Linked DNA regions of Oryctolagus cuniculus. The main gene of each other region encodes a partner of the protein of the gene in region 2 in a complex. Links are inferred from orthologs where the notes say so. Each region holds a gene or a part of one and is shown on either strand. Other genes may lie near its edges.

Region 1 (5,684 bases), on a different chromosome or scaffold from region 2:
GAATTTAAAGCTCTTTTGCCCATTAGTCCAACAAAGGAATCTGTTTTATGCCCTGGAAAAATACATGTAGGGGTATTTTAATATGTATGTCTTTGAGGAAATATATCACTAAAACTAGCAAAAAAAAAATAAAAAAGCACCTAAGTATATTAGCCTACATAATAAATACATCTATTTCAAATTTTAGTGAGCCTAAAGCAATGAAAATTCCTTGTAAATCTTACAAATTACCCTAAGGCAACACCATGAAAGAATTTTTCTCAATTCTGTATCTAAAATTAGCAAGTACTCTTTATTTATGTGATATTTGATCTATCATTTGCAATACTGATAGAATCTGAGCTAGCTCTGACTTTCAGGGAGTCAGTTTCAGGTTTGTATGGGAGACAGATAACTAAGCTTGTTTCCTCGTGAGACTAAATGTATTATTTCTCAGAAAGCGAGTCTTAGTTAAGTCAGATTCGAGCCCTTGATGATTAACTATCTCTATTTTATTAGATCTTTAAAAATAGTCTATTCTTGTTGGAAGAGTGAATTTGTTTTGACTTTAATAGAGTACATTTATTTCTCTCACATAGAACTTCATTATATATAATTCTCTTGATAGACAAGTCCTTAGAAAGTAAATATGTATAGCATTTATTTATTTTCAAAGATAAAAATCTTTGGAAAAGATTTATTATTTTAATTCTAGTGGGAGAATTTCTCTTGATTTTTGCAGTATCCTTGGGACTAGGGCTGTTAGTTTAATGCGATCTACTTTGCCATCCAGGCAGCCCAATTTAAGACAAGGCACATAGATGTACTGTGTGATTAACGCGGACCCTGGGACTTCCTGTCAATTTGGCTCCAGTCACCGGGATACTAAAATCTAAGGACCCTCAAGTGCATAACTCTGACATCTTCTCCACCCCAACAAATGCTCCCTGTGTGTTGGCTGGCGAAAGCTTCCCGCTGCATTATGGAACCAAAGATCTTCATGTCCATCATTATCTTTACATGGATTCTACTTAGCTATTCACTCCCTCATTCACTCAATTGCCTGCTGGATGACCTCAAAACATGATCTTCTAGGAGACCCAGCATATTAAGGTGAGTGAGAAGGAGCCCATAAATACTTGGATTTGGGTACTAGGGGAGGCTGGAGAGGACTGTGTGAGGTGGGTCACAATCCTGTGATTTGACCTCTTACCAAAAACTAACAATTTACAGGGGCTAAAGGACAGCTTCCTTTCCTTTTTAAAACATCAAGTATCTTTTTGGTAAGAGCCATATTTTTAAGAAACAGAGCTTGACGCAATCATATTCTATATAATAGGAGTCTCATCCACTCTTATATAGTCTCCATTGACATATTAAGTCTATGTTAAGACTGAAATTAAGGTCAGCTATTGCATAAAGTGGTATTCAGTCTTGTTAACATTTGCACTTGAGAAATGCCAAAATAATCTTGAACTTACTTTTGTGAGAAATCTGGCCGTGTCCTGGCAGGAAGAAAGGTAACAGTTAACCAACACGTGCAAGATCTGTGCAGAGCTCTATCACATCTCTTAAAGAGGCTGCTAAAATACATCGATTTTCAAAATATGCAACATATTCCACTCCTGTCCCACCCTGAGAAATATAGCGGGACCATAAAGGCTAACCAGATTATTCATAATAAAAAGCAAACTAGTTTACAGCCCAAAGAACCATCACCGAGGGCTTTCTCTAGACCAAGGCTTCACACCCAAGATGCTGGGACACCTGAGGTCTGGCATTAACTGTCAAGCTGTGCCACCTCTCATCTTCAAGGCCTGACACCCCACCCGTGTGCGAGAGAGAGAGAGAGAGACAGACAGACCCATCTCTTTACCAAACAGCATAACCAGGATACTGCGTTCAAGCCCTACAAGATTTCCTTCACTTTTCTAATGAGAATTCACGATAGTCAAAGATTGATAGAGTGTTTACCATAAAGAGCCTTTAACAGGGCCACTTGTTTTTCAATTGAGGAATCTGACAAGAGAGGAGTTGGCATTAACTATTTACGTCCCACTGATGTCGCCATCAACCCAGGGAAACTGTGTTTCCATCTGGAGCCTCGGCACAGCCAGGTCTCGCCTAACCCGGGGGGGGGGGGGGGGGTGGTCAGCTTCCACGTGCACCACGACCCTGCGGACGCCTCCCCAAGAACGCCCCCGCCCGCCCCTCCCTTGCTAATTGGTATCCTTAGTAAGGGGCGCGCTGAGCTAAGGCTGGGTCCTGGATTTGGCGGTTTTGTGCACTCGAATGCCGGCGAAGCCCTCCCTCTGCAGGCAAGTGTGCACAGCGCCTTAGAGAGGTCCCGAGTCCCACCGCTCTTAGGATGGACTTATCTACTCATGGAGCAAGACACGAGCGAGCAGGCAGGGAGGGTTGCCCATCTCACCAGCATCCCGTTTGCCCATTAATCCAAAGAACTGCTGAGGCTTGGGTCTCCGGGCGATTCTCTGCAGCAGGTGCTCGAAGGGCTCGGGCAGCTCCTCCTGGAAGACAGACGCGCGGACACACGGGCGTGTGGGCCACGGAGCCAGGTGCGGGGTGGCCCGTGCCATTCCCAAAGCGCGCCCCGGCCCTGGGCGAGCCCCAGCGAGCCAAGGCCCGGGCGGGGAAGCCAGCTCTGCCCAGGGGGGAGGGGGGTCTGCCCCACGTCGGGCGCGGTCTGCCACTCCCGCACCACTCCAGCCCCGCGCCGTGTCCTCAGGCCCGGAGCCCTGCTCTCCCCTCTGCTTCCACGGACCCTGCTCATCTGCAGAGCCGCCCTCCCCCGAGCCCCTCCAGCCCTCCGCCGTGACTTTGTCTCTCCCTGGTGCGGGCTCCAGCGACCTCTTGCTGCCCCGAACACACACAGGTGTGTGTGTGTTTGCAGGGGTGGGGGGAGGGGGTGCTTTCCCCGCAACCCGCACCGCAGGCTCCCTGGCGCCAACACGTACGAGAGCCACCTAAAGCGAAACTCGCAGGTCCGCAAAATGAACTCGCAACGACCAGTGAGCCCCCGCTGAGCGCTCCTGTCCCCGGGGACCCCGTGTGTTTCCCAGCGCGCGGACAGGGCGGGAGACTGCACCTGCGTGAGCAGCGTCGCTCGGGGATGAAACCTTGCGAGGTTTCCAGCCTTCTGGCAACCCGGGGCTCGTAGGGGCGGACTGGACTCTCTCGGAGAGATCCCAGACCCTGCGCTGCAGCCCCAGGGAGAAAAGTTGGGTCCTGGGTGCAGAACCAGGGCGGGAGCGAGGGGGTGGGGTGGGGTAGGGTGGTGGAGCCACTTCCCAGCACTGCGCGCCCGCACTGCTGTGGCCGCGGCCGGGCGGACCCGCAGACTTCGTGGGGTCCCAGCCCCGGAGGAGCGGCGCGGGCTGTTCCCGGACCCGGGCTCACCTTGATCTGGTCGCTGTCGGACCAGTCGGACCAATAATTTAGATCATCGTTGGCTCGGATGTCTTCCGCAGACAGTTGGGTGGAGACGAGAGCCAGGACTGCCAGGGCCACGAGGATTTTCATGTTGGCTTTCTGGGGAGCAGTGGGAGAGAAGGGGACGGGAGGTGGGGTGGAGGAGCCCGTTGATCGGAGCGGCTGTCGGCGAGTTGGGGCAGCGGCATTTTCGGCCCCCAGACGGCACCCGGGATGAGTTGAACCGGGATGAGAAGCGCGCCTGGGTCCCGGGCCTCTGCTCCCCAAATCCCAGCAGTCCCAGGCTCCCCCAGCCCCCAACCACCAAATCGCACTTCCCTTCCCGCGGGACAAAGAAGAGGGTCAGTCTCCCACCCCGGCCACGCGGGATGGCTGCGCTGTGGCCCAGCGCGGGCACTTACGGCGACGGCAGGCCCGCGGGTCCCTGGGCTGCTCGGAGCGCACGCCGCGCGGTGCGGGAGGAGGTGAGCGCGCGCTGTGGCCCGCTCGGAGCCGCGCGGTTTTTATCCCCGGCTCGCGGAGCCTCCGGACCCACGTGACCCGCCCCCCCTCCCCACGACTTTCTGCTCAATATTTAATTAGCCGCCTCTTCCTTCTCTGCCGGCGTGATTGAGAGTTTCCGAGACGGCAACCCGTCGGTGCCCATCACATCTGGACCCCACTGGGCCCGCAGTGACGCAGTGTTAGGCAAGTCGAGGCTTCCGCATCCGTCTGCGGAGCTGACGCCCCCTCCCCTCGCCTTGACACCTGAGATTACTCATCAACCTCCAGCAAAGTGACTCATTCCTTGGACTGGGCCGACTTTGGAGAAGTGATAGTTTTGAAGCCAGCCGACCGGGTACCTGTGGGCAGCAGGACCGGGTCGAGGGCCAGCGGGCCACGGAGGGGGCGCTTCCGTGGGCCTTCCCGCCTTCACCTCTCCTAAATCCCCGGCAGCACTCACACTTCCCCAGCGTTGAGAAAGGGGTGTCTCAGGCTCATAGCGCTTCCGGGGAGGGAAGAGGATTTATTATACGCTTTAGGGAAACTGCACCCAGAGGCGCCCCGAGGTGGCTCCTGTCCCCCAAATCCTCCTCGCCCTGCACAGGAGGGCGTTTTTGCTTCTCTCCCACCCTGTCTTGCACGTGCCCGGCACTCTTAGCTGGTGTCACCCAAGGCATCCGCGGGGACTTCGCCTGTGCATCAAAGTCGGTGCAGTGAGCACGCGGACCGGCAGCCGTGCAGTCGTCCACAGCACAGAATTGTTAGGAAACTAAGGTCAGCGCCTGCTGGAGATCACAGCTTCCCGGGAGTGCACGCTTGCCTTGAAGACACATTTCCTTTACCTGAAGAGCAGAATTACAGGTGTGTGTGTGTGTGTGTGTGTGCGTGCGTGTATGTGTGTGTTGGGGGGAGATAGAGAAAAAGTTCTGTGGGCTGGTTCACTCCCCATTTGGCCTCTACGATCCGGCCTGGGCTAGGCCAGAAGCCGGGAGCCAGGAGCTCCATCTGGGTCTCCCATGTGGGTGCAGGGGCCCAAGCACTTTGGCTGTCTTCTGCCGTCTTCCCTGGGAGCTGGATTGGAAGTGGAGCTGCTGGGGCTTGGACCTGGGCTCCACTATGGGATCTGACGTTCCAAGCAGCCGCTTAGCCCCACTGGGCCACAATGCTGCTGGAGACTCGTTTCTTGCATCTTTATCAAAACTGAATGACATTGTATTTTGGGTGGAATAGTTTTCTCTTTTATACTTAGTATTAAAAACTTCAGGTAATTATAATTTTAAGTACAATGCACGATGGAAATAAGTTTTCGGAACTTAAGTATACCAGTAATACTTTTCCTCCAATATTTGTTCTTAAATGACAGTGAATTTTGAAATTTTCATGTGTCTCTCAAATTTTTTTGACCTAGCCTCACAGTGTGAGCATTTCCTGTTTTAGTTTTCAAAACGTTTTAAATGGCAAATTATAAACATACAAAAGTAGAACAGATCATTGATTTGAAGCAATTTGCTTGTTCAAATACAGTACTTCCTATTTCTCCTCCACTCAGATTATTTTGAAGCAAATCCCAGACATCTCATCATTTCATCTGCAAACATTCTAGTGTATCTATCTAAAAGGTAAGGATTCTAAAAATAAAAAGATGAGGACAGCGTTGTGGCATAGCTGTTAAAGCTGCCGCCTACAGTGCCGGCATCCCATATGGGGAGCTGGTTCAAGAGCCAGCTTCTCCACTTCTGATCCAGCTCTCTGCTATGGCCTGGGAGAGCACT
Region 2 (5,174 bases):
TTCATAAATGGGACTGGTGCCCTTGTGAAAGAGGCCTGGGAGAGGCCCCTTGCCCCTTCCACCATGTGAGGACAAAGCAAGAAGTAGCCACCCATGAACCAGGGAGCCAGATCTCAGCAGACACTGAATCTGCTGGCCTTGATCTTGGACTTCCCAGCCTCCAAAGCTGTGATGAATGCATTTCTGTCGTTTGACAGTTCCCAAAGCTATTGTGTTAGCAGCAGCCCAAATAGGATAGGACGATGGGTGATGCGACACTCTTATTTTTAGCACCCAGAAATCTTAGGTGAAGACCTACATAGTACCAGCTGTCTATACATGTAGCATGACATAATATGCAAGGAAATGTCAAAAAGGAAAAAAAGAGATTTTCAACAAAAAGACTTCCTTTCAAAGATCTTGTGGATTTTATGAAGTGAAAAAAAATAAGAGGGAGAAATTTACTATGTATATAAAAAAGAAAATAATACTATTTTTTTAGCTTTTAAATGTTTTTATCTAGAACTAACAAGAAGCAACAGTGGTCGCCATTGTGTGTTTGTCTGTATGTGTATGTATGTGTGTGCTTGGGAATTGAGTAAAATGGAGGACCTAGAAGGAAAGGAGCCTTCCATGGTAGGATTTTTAATCTGTTTGTAACTTTTAATTTTGAGCTAATCTAAGACCCTCAAGAAGTTGCAGAAAAAACACAAGGAGTTCCCAGGTACCCTTCAATGAGATCGTGTTATATAACCACTCTACATTATCAAAACCAGGAGACTGGCATTGGTTTGGTGCTGTTCACTCAGTCACTGACTGCATTTGGATGGTTGCCAGTTTTTACCTGTGTGCTTCTGTTTGGCAGTCAGTTCTATGAAATCTCAGCACACTCAGGATGCAAAGCTGCTCCCTCTCCCTTACTCCCTTTTTAAGCAGATGTCTCCCCCAGAACTAACCCCTGGAAAACCTCTTAGCTGTTCTCCATCACTGTAATTTTTGTTCCATTTAGTACTTTTTGATGTTTGAACCATGTGAGTCAATTCTTTTGTTAAATTTCAAATAAATAATAAAAGAGGACCAAATAACTCTCCACTGTGTGTGTGTTCTAGTGGACTGTCAGGTTCTAATTACTCTTTTTTTTTTTTTTTTTTTAAACTGCCATTAGGTACAAGTTCTCTTTCTTTTTTTATTTTATTTTATTTTATTTTATGAACATAAATTTCCAAAGTACAGCTTATGGATTACAATAGCTTCCCCCCCACCCCCCAATTACTCTTACGGAGCAAGTGAAGTGGTTCATGCCTATATAACCAGACCCAGGCTCCAAGAACACCGAAGACCCAGCATTTCAGCTGTTCTCCAGACCCAGGAATGTTTGGTGTTCAGAGTCTCTGGGGCTGGCAGGCAGACCCCACTTGACACCTCCCACCTGTGCCACGGTGGGTTAGGTGCTCTTTGTCCCTTACTCACCTTGCGCTTGGCAGAGACTTGCTCGTGGTAACGGTCAGAGGAGTCCCCAGGGATCTCACTGGCCCACAGTGTGATGCCCACTATGGTGTATGCGTAGCCAATCACCAGGAGGGGGAGGAAGTAGATGAGCACAGTCACACAGATGTGGTACCTGCAACAAGGAGGATAGGAGGGGCTGCTCTAAGAAGCAACAGAGGTGGGTGGTGACGGCCTGGGTTCCTTTCTCAGCATTTGCTGTTAATAAGCTTGGGCTGTAAGGACATCCCAAGGAGGTATGCTGTTTGCATAGGGTGGATGAATGACTAATGGGTGAAATAGGGAAAGCAAATCTCTTCCATTTATGTTTTTCTTGTGGACTTTTCCCATAGTAGAGATTACTGTTCAGATTGTAAAGAGAAGAGAAGCTGATGAGGGGAACTGAATTAATTGTATATTAATTGTATATCTATGGGGACTGGCACTGTGGTACAGTGGGTTACACTGTGCCTACAGTGCCGGCATCCCATATGGGCGCCGGTTCAAGTCCCGGCTGCTCCACTTCCAATCTAGCTCTCTGCTTTGGCCTGGAAAAGCAGTGGAAAATGGCCCAAGTCCTTGGGCCACTGCACCCGTGTGGGAGATCCAGAGGAAGCTCCTGGCTCCTGGCTTCGGATCAGCTCAGCTCCGGCCATTGTGGTCATTTGGGGAGTGGAACATCAGATGGAAGACCTCTCTCTCTTTGGCTCTACCTCTCTCTGTAACTGTGTATTTCAAATAAATAAAATAAATCTTAAAAAAATTGTATATCTATGGCAATTTCAGTTGGTGTTAGTGCAGTATCACTCCACATAAAAGAGATAGCAAATTTTGATGGCATTAGCAGAAGTACATGCTCTCAAATGAAGGAGGTATGCCTTCAGTTATGTCTGCTGGACAACACTTAATGCTCAATTTCAGTGCAAGGATGTAAACAAGTAGACCAGTTAGACAATGGTTGATGGATTCCTGGATATCAGAGTTAGAGAGGGGGGAGTGAGATAAGACTGATCCTAGAACAGTCTCTGGAGGAAAGCCACAGGGTAGAAGCTATTCTTGTGCATGGCCCTTGAGAACACATCTTCAGATGGAAGTGCCTGGGTCTCTGAGCCACCACTTGGAGGAAAGATGCCAGCAGAGTCACATTTGACTGCAGCACTAGCAGGAAACAGACCTTTTGCAGCATAACACCACTCAGATCCTGGAGCTTATTCCAGTGGCAAAACATGTCCTACTCTGTTTACATCAAGTCTCCTTCTAAGTAGGAGACCCAAATAAGTTTTTTTTTTTTTTTAATTTTGAGAAAGATTTTTTTTTTCACTCAGAGCATCTTTAGCTTGTCTAGTTACAGCCCTTAATCCAGATGTGAGTGTAATGAAGGGGCTCAGCATTCCTACCATGATGATGATGGTGATGAAGAGAACAGCTAACTTTACTCTAGGTTATTGTGCTACTAATAATATTAATGGTAGATATGTAACAGAAATGGTAGCTAAGTTGTGTTGAGTGTTTGCCAAGAGCACAAAGTTAGGCATTTTACTGGCATTATCTTACTGAAAATTTACTCCTTCAGTTACTGGGTAGGCACCATCATCATCCCATCTTCTAGATGAGGAACCTGAAGCTTAGAATTTAGTCAGTTTGCTAAAATTCACAGCTGATAAAGGGAGAAGATAGGCTTAGAACACAGGTCTGTGACCCCAGCATCAGCTTCTTTTCACTGGATAAAATTTATCCATAAATTGTTTTCTTCCATATGTTGGCAGTCTATGCTTATTCTCTGTGATGATTGTCTCGCAATAAGGAAAGCCCACTTATTCACTAAATATCTCCCTTGTCTATATGCTGTTTACATTCAATCACTTCTTGGAAAGCCCATAGTTTGCCACTTACTTAGCCTTCTCTGATTATTAAAATTTGCAACTAGAAGATACTCCAAGAGTTCTTTTTTTCTTTAATTAATATTAATTTTAAAAATTTATTTGAAAGATTTACGGAGAGAAGAGGATAGAGTGAGAAAGAGATCTTCCATCCACTGGTTTATATCCCAAATGTTCACAACAGCCAGGGCAGGCCAGGCTGAAGCTAGGAGCCCAGAGATTCTTCTCAGTCTCCCATGTGGGTTTAGGGGCTCAATCACTTGGGCCATCCTCTGCTGTTTTTCCAGGCACATTAGCAGGGAGCTAGATTGTAAGTGAAGCAACTGGTGGGCACTTGACCTGGTGGGCACTTGATCTGGTGCCCACATAGGATAATGGCATCTCAGGCAGAGGCTTAGCTTGCTATGCTACAATGCCACCCCCCAACAGTGTTCTTTTTAAAAAATATTTTATTTAAGGAATGCAACTTCATGCATTTAATATATATATATATATATATATATATATATATTTGGAAACATGAGGATTCTTCCCCCTCTACCTCCCTCCCACCCATACTCCTGCCCTTCTTTCTCCCCCCTCTTCCTTCACCATTCTTATTTTTCACAGAGATTGATTTTTCATATAGTTTTTATACTCATAAAATTAATCTTACACTAAGTAGAGAGTTCACCAATTAGTATGAAGAAAAAAGAAAAAAAAGTTCGACAGTCAGGGCAAAGGCTGTTCAAAATCAACGCATCTTAAAGTGTCAGTTTCACTCCTATAGATTGCATTTTAGGTACTCTTTTAGTTACTACAGATCAGAGAGAGAGACCATATGGTATTTGTCTTTTTGTGACTGGCTTACTTCACTAAGTATAATGGTTTCCAGTTACATCCATTTTCTTTCAAATAAAATGATTTCATTTTTTACCCTCTGTGTAGTATTACATAGTGCATATATGCCATAATTTCTTTATCCAATCCTCAGTTGATGGACATCTGGGTTGATGCCGTATCTTAGTTATTGTAAATTGTGCTGAGATGAACATAGGGATACAGATCACTCTTTCATATGCTGATTTCATTTCCTTTGGATAAATTCCCACTGGATGGCTGGGTCATATGGTAGATCTATATTCAGCTTTCAAAGGATACAAATAGGGAAGGAAGAAGTCAAACTATCCCTATTTGCTGATGACATGATTCTATATATAGGAAACCCAAGAGACTCCACAAAGAGACTATTGGAACTCATAAAAGAGTTTGGTAAAGTAGCAGGATATGAAATCAACACACAAAAATCAATAGCCTTTGTATTCACAGAAAATGCCACAGCTGAGAAGCATCTTCCAAGATCAACCCCATTCACACTAGCTACCAAAAATTTAAATATCTTGGAATAAACATAACCAAGGATGTCAAAGATCTCTACAATGAAAATTACCAAACATTAAAGAGATAGAAGACATAAAAAAGTGGAAAAATCTCCCTTGTTCATGGATTGGAAGAATCAACGTCTTCAAAATGTCCATACTACTGAAAGCAATTTATAGATTCAGTGTGTTTTCCCATTCAAAATACCAACATTCTTCTCATATCTAGAAAAAAATAATGCTAAAATTCACATGGAAACACAAGAGACCCCAGATAGTTAAAGCAATCTTATACAACAAAACCAAAGCTGGAGGCATCACAATACCAGACCTCAAGACATACTACAGGGCAGTTATAATCAAAACAGGCTGGTACTGGCACAAAAACAGACATGTAGGCCAATGGAACAGAATAGAAACTCCAGAAATTAACCCACACATCTACAACCAGCTTATCTTTGACAAAGAGCAA

The links. Proteins that work in one complex are often made in the same cells at the same time.
Region 1: the proteins of TACR1 (region 2) and TAC1 are in contact, whole or in part, in a cryo-EM structure (PDB 7P02), measured with the Homo sapiens proteins. The link is inferred for Oryctolagus cuniculus from reciprocal best matches to the Homo sapiens genes TACR1 and TAC1. Residues at the interface, in NP_001049.1 of Homo sapiens: Gln24, Phe25, Asn85, Asn89, Tyr92, Ala93, Asn96, Trp98, His108, Asn109, Ile113, Gln165, Met174, Arg177, Val179, Cys180, Met181, Ile182, His197, Val200, Phe264, Phe267, Phe268, Tyr278, Leu279, Ile283, Gln284, Tyr287, Met291; in NP_003173.1 of Homo sapiens: Lys60, Pro61, Gln62, Gln63, Phe64, Phe65, Gly66, Leu67, Met68.

What each region holds. Positions count from the first base shown.
Region 1 is NC_091447.1:38,673,446-38,679,129, forward strand, and holds the start of TAC1 (protachykinin-1), read right to left. Parts: upstream 3,989-5,684; 5' UTR 3,831-3,988; intron 3,529-3,830; 5' UTR 3,520-3,528; coding exon 3,397-3,519; intron 2,508-3,396; coding exon 2,411-2,507; intron 1,999-2,410; coding exon 1,954-1,998; intron 1,485-1,953; coding exon 1,461-1,484; intron 53-1,460; coding exon 1-52. UniProt on the Homo sapiens protein: Tachykinins are active peptides which excite neurons, evoke behavioral responses, are potent vasodilators and secretagogues, and contract (directly or indirectly) many smooth muscles.
Region 2 is NC_091433.1:127,837,261-127,842,434, reverse strand, and holds part of TACR1 (substance-P receptor), read right to left. Parts: intron 1,601-5,174; coding exon 1,450-1,600; intron 1-1,449. UniProt on the Homo sapiens protein: This is a receptor for the tachykinin neuropeptide substance P. It is probably associated with G proteins that activate a phosphatidylinositol-calcium second messenger system.